2 linked regions of the Drosophila melanogaster genome follow. The protein of the gene in region 1 interacts with the protein of each later gene in a pairwise test. Each region holds a gene or a part of one and is shown in the gene's direction. Other genes may lie near its edges.

What was found.
Region 2: the proteins of CG9316 (region 1) and SkpC interact in a two-hybrid assay, tested with the Drosophila melanogaster proteins (2 studies listed by BioGRID).

What each region holds. Positions count from the first base shown.
Region 1 is NT_033779.5:20,723,504-20,728,359, reverse strand, and holds CG9316 (uncharacterized protein), read left to right. Parts: upstream 1-1,808; 5' UTR 1,809-1,903; coding exon 1,904-2,498; intron 2,499-2,553; coding exon 2,554-3,254; intron 3,255-3,312; coding exon 3,313-3,363; 3' UTR 3,364-3,388; intron 3,389-3,448; 3' UTR 3,449-4,151; downstream 4,152-4,856. Other genes in the region: CarT (carcinine transporter), read left to right, coding at 1-392, 468-741.
Region 2 is NC_004354.4:19,814,371-19,817,473, forward strand, and holds SkpC (SKP1-related C), read left to right. Parts: upstream 1-1,701; 5' UTR 1,702-1,767; coding exon 1,768-2,244; 3' UTR 2,245-2,330; downstream 2,331-3,103.

The sequences.
Region 1 (4,856 bases):
GCCTGTGTGATCACTGTAATGTTGCCCGATGATGCCGTGGATGAGACCCTTGTGCTGTATCTAGTATCCAAAGCCTTGCTATCCGCCTCCTTCCTGATCATATACCCCTTTGCCGGGGAACTTTATCCCACTCAGGTTCGGGGTATCGGCATTGGTGCTTCCAGTTATATTGGAGGATTGGGTCTCATTGGCATACCTTTTATTACCTACTTGGGAAAGGACAATCTTAAACTGCCCTTGGTCATCATGGGCTTCCTTTCGATGCTGGGCGGCATGACGGGATTGCGGCTGCCGGAAACACTGCATCATCGCTTGCCGCAGACCATCGAGGAGGGCGAGGAGTTTGGCAAGAACTGGCAGTTCAAAGATTGCTGTAGATGCGCTCAAAAGCCGTGAGTTCAATGTGCATGTGGTGACCAAGGCGGGTATAAAACTAATTTAATATATATTGTGCTTACTTTTTGCAGAGAGATTTTATCTCAACCTGCGTCGTACGAGAACCTGGATGTCCTGGCTGGATCCTCCACCAATGCTTCTGAGGTGGAATTGGAGCTGCGGGACAGTCGACGGGTTCGGGAGCCGGCTCCCCGCATTGACGAGCGTACGCCCCTGGACACAACGGCCAGTGGAAGTGGGCGACCTGTTCATCGGCCCTCGATGAAGCGATTAGTGCGCCAAATGAGCGTCATGGACACCCAGAGGACGCATGATGGCACCATGCAGTTGACTCATTGGATCTAAGATTTGTAGCGACAAATCTAATGTATTGTCACATCTAGAAGAGATTTCTTAAAATTAATTAGATAAACTGCAAGGCTATTCTTTGTTTTCGCTAAAGTTTAAAATGATTGCATATAAACTATTTACTAATCTATTGCTTAACGCTAAGGGATATCTTTTTAAATATAGAACTATGGGCAGAGACTTCTTTAAAAACAAACATACAAATATAATTAATCATAAAAACTTACCATTTTTGCAGCACAATGTTAGCAATTGTCATTGTATGAAAAATAACGAAATTAATGTTTCAACAAGTTACTTAACATATAACAGCACTATTTAATTGCTTACTAATTTATTTATAATTTAAATAATAGTTCTCTAAGTAAACGCTTTTGATTCCGTGTTTTAGAAGTATTTGCTATGAGCAAATAGAGCAGCATACTTTAACTGCTTAAAATTAAATCTATAACAATTTCCTCCTTTAAATACCAGTTTTCTTTTCCTTTTCCATTACTTTTCCATTAATTATAGGGCATTGCCATTATGCCTAAGTTGTTTGCTTTTGTGAATTACAAAAGCTTTGTAAACAAAAACCGAAACTTAATTCTTCAAACATATCCGGTAAAAATAAATAAATAAATAAGTACGTGTAGCGTATATCGTATGGCGACTTCTCAATCACCGGTAATTGATTTATGCATTTATTCAGACAATTATGCAATTAATTGTTGTCAAACAAAAAGAAAACTTGCTCATGCGGTGAATAATAGAGGAATGCGCGAAATTGCCCCCACCTGTCGACCGTAAACTGCTGGCGGTCACTGTCAACCGTAGGAAGTGCCTGGACCCATGGGAATTCATAATGCTGGATCAGATCACAAATATGTTGACACCAAGGAGATCTTGCAAGCAAAAATGTAGTTTCTTAATATTGCTACTTAAGTTCAGTACGCAGTTCCAAATCCAAAGATTCGTTAAGATGGTCCTTTGTCCTAGTCTTTTTCCCTATAGATCTCTGGAGTATTTAGATTTGGATCTTGAATTACGGTATCAGGACTCTAATATTTACCCGGTTACACAAGGTCGAGCTTGATTTTCCCTTATTTCCTATCATAACATCTGGGCAGTGTCAAAAATGAATTAATCTAAATTTACGTACAAGCAAATAATCCAAAAAATGCCTAAGGCGAAAACGCATTCGAGATCAGTGAAGACTCCATTCCCAGTTCGCTCCAATCGCCCGGGTGGAGTCCAAAAAAGTGAGCCATCGCCATCGCCATCGCCATTATGCAGGACCAGTCTGCTTGATCTGCCGGAGGACATCATCCGACTGGTTCTCGAGTTTCTGCCCAGGATTACCGATAAGGTTCTGCTGGCCTGTGTGGCGCCCAAGTTCCGAGCGGCCTTCGAGGGCTGGGCGAGAGTGCAACGAAATGCTTTGGACATGGTTAGTCTGGAGACGGTGCCTCTGCCGCAATTGATCAGGTTCTTCAAGGTGGCGGGACCCTTCATCAGAGTCCTTCAAGTGGACTGTGCGTCCTACCAAAAGGAGTCCCTGCTGGTGGAGTTCGTAAAGGAATACTGCCCCAATCTGGAGGAGATTAGTTACTCGAACGCCACCGATGAGTTTCACTACCGATCGATTATGTCCAAAATGACGCACTTGAAACGGGTGACTATTGAGTGTTTGGATGCAGAGGATGTGCTCAACTTTGATATGCAGCCCAACCAGGAGCTGGAGTTTTTTGAACTGGTTAATGGTTGCTATACAGGTAGGTATGCACTGCACTCTATTTATGCGTTTGCGGGACTTTATTTTCGCAACAGGCCAAAATCTCTGCGGTTTTCCCAATCTCAAAACTTTGGTCCTTCGAGACTGTCTGCTATGGAACTCGATGGAGTTTGGAATTCCGCTTAAGTCGTTGCACACTTTGGATCTCGACGACTGTTGTTTCGAGGTTATGAATGTGAGCTTGTACCAGAAAATCGCCGAGAGCTGCACGAACTTGGTGGAACTGATCTTCTCCGGCTGCGACACCAACTTCGAGGTAATCGCCAACCTGCCCAAGCTGGAGCGCTGTACACTGAAAACCTGGATGACCTCCAACGAGCTGAATATTGGGTTCCTTACGGTTCTGGCAGAGAAACGAGGAAACAAGCTCACCCATCTGCACCTATCCGGTCAGTTCAATATCACCAATGAGCACGCCAGGTGCCTGGGACAGTTGAGTAGCCTCACGGATCTGCGGTTCAGCAACAACGATATCCTGGACGACGATCACTTCAAGTTCTTCAACGATCTCAGCCAGCTGGAGCGATTTGGTCTGACCGCGTGCGGTCGGGTGATGGACGTGGGGATGATGAGGATGTTGCGGAAGTGTCCCCAGTTGAAAGTTATTGATTTGACCGATTGCGAGCAGATCACCGAGGAGTTTGTGATCCAGGCCATTGGATTCTGCTCGAAGGGATCAGGTCGTGATGTGGTGCTCAATGTAAAGGGAACCATGATCAGGCGGCCTATATTGACGGTGGGAAAACCGGGGCGGGAGTTTCGAAAGCATATACTAACACTTTCATATTTTGCAGCATCCGGATTACGTGAATTCCTTGAATCGTCTAAAGGTTAATTTTATTTAAAACGACACCACTCGAATGGAAAATGGTAAGAAAATAAATGTCTATGAATTGTTGCAATAATTTGATCAAATTTTGTGTTGCCAAGGAATCATTTCTTATTGAACATCAAATATCAAGAGAGACACTGCCCAAAACCAATCAAATTTGATTTCTATTAATAAAAATCAGTTTAAAAGGAGTGCAAGTATTATTTTTGCCATAAGGAACCGTAGCTGTGATTTCTGGATTAGGGAATAGACGTGGTGGGCACTTCTTCCGTGAGTGGAACATTCGATGGCCTTGGAGCGCGGATAGCTAAGACAATGGGATCCTCACTGGATCGATGAGTCATGACCCCATGGCTGCCATAAGGAAGTGGACGATCGAAATTTATGATCATCACAATGCTCACAATGCTCCATTAGAACGCCGATAATTGCGGACAAACGTGTGTGGGTCGTGTCGCTGCACTTTGGGCCTTTGGCTGTAGTACGTCAAGCGGCTGGCTAACAAGCCAAACGAATGGAAACCGAAATCGAACAATACGCGATATTCGATACAGTTCTGAATCCGCGATTCAATTCGATCCAAGCGATCGATCGCCGGCAATAAATTTCGCATTCAATTGCTGCTCTATTGGAACTGAACTTTGTTGCTTTGTTGGCCGATGATGTCTGTGTTAGCAGCAGGAAGCTAAGTGACCGCGTCCAGTTGATTACACTTGGAAAAATAGAAAACATTTTGTTTAATTATAGAACTAATGTATCTTGCAGGACTCTTATAATACATATGTCCAGTTGGGTTCAATTAAATCTTTTAACCAGTCATTCTTCACAGGTTTTTTGTGTGATTTGGTATGACACCTTTTCTCTAGAATTATTTGCAGTGCAGATCGTAGAGCGAACTCACCTGTGGCCACTCCACTACTCCACTGGTTAGTCATCTATACGTTTTGATTGTTTTTTGCGTGTGCTATTTGTTTTACACTGACCTCGAGTGGCTCCTTAAATGGCTGTCGGCGGCTGCAATCGCCGCGACTCTCCGATCGACGGTGCTAGAAGGGGTTAGCAGGGGGTTAGCAGTGGGTTAGCAGGGGTTCTGGTGGCCAGGGGCACCCCGGCGAATGCCTTGACATGTTCAGGTGTCCGCCATGCTCGGCTATCTGACTAATTAGTGTACTTTAACTGGACCAGCAGAGCAGGCAGCTTGCTGACATTTGGCCACAAGTTGCGGTGGCATCTTCGGCTCATCCGGAGGAGCAGGGTTTGCATGAGTGGGGCACATTAAGCAGGGATAATTTGGCGTACCCTGCCCCTTTGCAGTATCGTATCTGGCAGATACTACTACTATATACTCGAAGCGTGTCCAATCACGCCTGTGAATTATTTAAAAATCTCGCTGGGCTGTCGTATTTCATAAGAGAGACAAGCCTTAAAATTGTTACCCTGATGCCATAGAAATTCGTGTTGTTTGTTGCTCGGTGACTTTGTTGTTGTTCCTAATGTTGCTGTTGT
Region 2 (3,103 bases), on another chromosome or scaffold:
GCGGGTAAGGTCGGTTAGATTTTAATTAATATTTAATAGCTTATAGTCTAGCAATATAATTAGGGTTCAAGCAATTGTTCTCAGTGTATTCATTTGTCGCGTTAATCTGTATAGAATTTGTTCAACTTTGGGAAAAACAAGAGAGAATGCTATAGTCGAGTTCCCCGACTATCAGATACCCGTTACTCAGAAAAATCGATAGATATAAAAAAAAATTATAAAAATTTTAAAAAATTATTCCAAAGTGTGGGCGTGACCGGTTGGGCGGTTTTAGGGCGTTCGAGTGGGTGTGGCAAAATTTTTGTTTTTATCAATAGAAATTTACGAGACTAATAAAAATTTGAAATAATATCAACACGTTTTTCGAAAGTGTGGGCGTGGCAGTTTTGTGCGGTTTGTGGGCGTGGCAAATTAAATAAAAATTAAAAATACAAAAGTAATATAAAATAAGTCTCCTCCTTGGGTTCACATTTAAAGGAATTATTGCGAATAATTCAAATATTTGCGGATATAATTATTCAGAAAATTTCTCTCAGTGTACATTCGCAGTTTGATATCTTTCACGCAAGTATAGGTTTAGGTCCGATAGAATTTATCAATATGTTTACTTCAGCAGAAACTTCTCCCTCTGTATTCATGTCTTCTAACCCTAAAATTATTCTTGTCCACATGCTCACTTTTTTTAATTAATATATCTTTTAAGCATTTAAATTAAATACAAATCTTAGGGTTTTGGTTTATGTGCGGCTGCTGTCAATCGATGGGAAGGGGTGATCCCCGGGACGGCTCGAAAAGGGTGCTCCACAAGACGGCATGACTCGAGTTCATTTTTTTGCTGACCGCCTAATAGGTTAGAGCCTTTGCGTCAACTGGCACACAAAAAAAAAAACTTAAATCGCGTTCCGTTTGGCGGCTAGGAAAACTCACTCGAATAATGGTATTTTCGCACTTTGTTTTTGCTATCCAAAACGGACACTTTTTTGGCCGAATTGCATCCTCATCCTCGTATTAAGTACGTAATTAAGTACTAAAGCTAGCAAATCGAAATTCTTCTTTGTATCTTGGATTTAATATTAATATATTATTTTGGAACTCGGTTCAAAATACAGTTTTACGGTAACTGAAAATTTTGATTCTGTTAAGTGTATATATTTTATGGAAAGCAAGTTACACATAATTGGAGTGTTTCATAAAACAATAATAATACAGTAAAAGGGAATGTTAGAATCGCTAATGAGTATGTAACAGGTAGAAAGTGCCTTCTGTCCGTCTGTTTTTCAAATGAAAAAATATATATTTAATTTAAAGTTTTTTTGAAAAATTAGAGCAAGTAATGTAAGCCCACGTGCTATTTTCCAGTTCCCTCTGTTAAAAATATTTTTTACGGGGTTCTTTCCGGAACTATTATTTTGAAATTTTTTGATTGAGCACTTACCCAACATTCATATAGGTTTTAAAATTCATATTACACTTTTTTTTATTACACTTTTAAGGTCTGATATGATAAATAAAACACGATTCGCGATTCTCAATAAAAAAGCTAAAGCGAATCTACAGTTCTTAATGTTAAGACTTCCAATTTCTAGTGTGTACACACTTGACGACAGTGATTCCGCAGTGATCACATCTGGTCACTCTGTTCTCTATTCTTTTTTCTTTGAACTTTCGAATCGTCCAGTTGGCACGTGCTCTATCAATCATCCCATCTTGTTCTTCTGAATCTCTTTGAACGTAGTTTGGCAAATAGAAAGGCAAGGCAAACCGAAAATGGATGCTCCCACCATCAAGCTTGAGTCCTCGGATGGGATGATCTTTTCAACGGAAGTCCGAGCCGCCAAGCTCTCCGAAACCATCAAGACCATGTTGGAGGTCTCTGCCGTGGAGAACGACGAGAATGCCATTGTGCCGCTGCCCAAGGTGAACGCGTTCATCCTATCCAAGATTCTGACCTGGATCTATCACCACAAGGACGATGATGCCCATGGAGCGGAGGGCGTGGAGTTGAGCCCGCAAAGCCCACATGACATCTCAGCCTGGGACGCCAACTTTATTAACGTCGATCAACCCACCTTGTTCGAAATCATACTGGCCGCCAACTATCTGGAGATCAAGGGCCTAGTGGATCTCTGTTGCAAGACGGTGGCCAATATGATTAGGGGAAAGACTCCCGAGGAGATCCGCCACACGTTCAACATCCCGGACGAAATACCGAGCAGGACGGCCCAGTTGGGCGAAGACCTGTGAGGCACAGTCTCTTTCGGAGCAAATCCGGTTGGGACACCTGGAACCTTCCTTTGTTGAGAACTTATTTGTTTCACCAGAATAAATATGATATTACGAGTATTTTTGAAAGCATATCTATTGTATTTTATCAACATATTCAGTTTACAGTTTACTTTGGCAACAAGAACACATAAAACATAACTTTTTAAATCGTTTCATGTTCGCTTGGGCTAAAGGAGTGCTCTGGCTCTATTCCCAGTTGATTGCCACCAAGCCGCCCGGGGATACAAGCACACACCACACACCACACCACACACCGACCCACTCCACTCCATAGCACCCCAATCCCGGAATCCTGGTGCTCCTTAAGCCGGTTCCTGATTTGGCAGCCACGCTAATTTCCAAAAGCCTTGGCCGTTGGCGCTTATGAGCTCTGCATCCATGAAGTTCGCATTACGTATGTAAAATAGTGCAGAAAACCCCCAAATGAACCCAAGCCCAGGGTCCCAATCCTCGTATTCCAAACCCTTGGACACAACTTACGCACTTTACATACCGTTGCGGGGTGGGGAGGCGGGTGGTGGGTGGCAGGAGGCTGGGCAATGTCCTTTATTGTAAGTTAAGTTGCTGCCCACACATCTGTGTGTGAATGTGGGAGGGGGCGGCCTACGGCTTGCCACTCGCCTTTCTTCGTCCGTTTCATGTGTGCTTGAAATTTAAAATGCTCTGTGGAAATTGGTTTAGTCATGTATGTATGTATGTATGTATGTATGTGCCCAGTGTGCGTTTGTTTGTGTGTGTGCTTAGGGGGTGAAAGCATACACATACAAGAATGTCAGGTGGGCGTATGTGTGTGCGTGTATATGTGGCCATTGGTTTT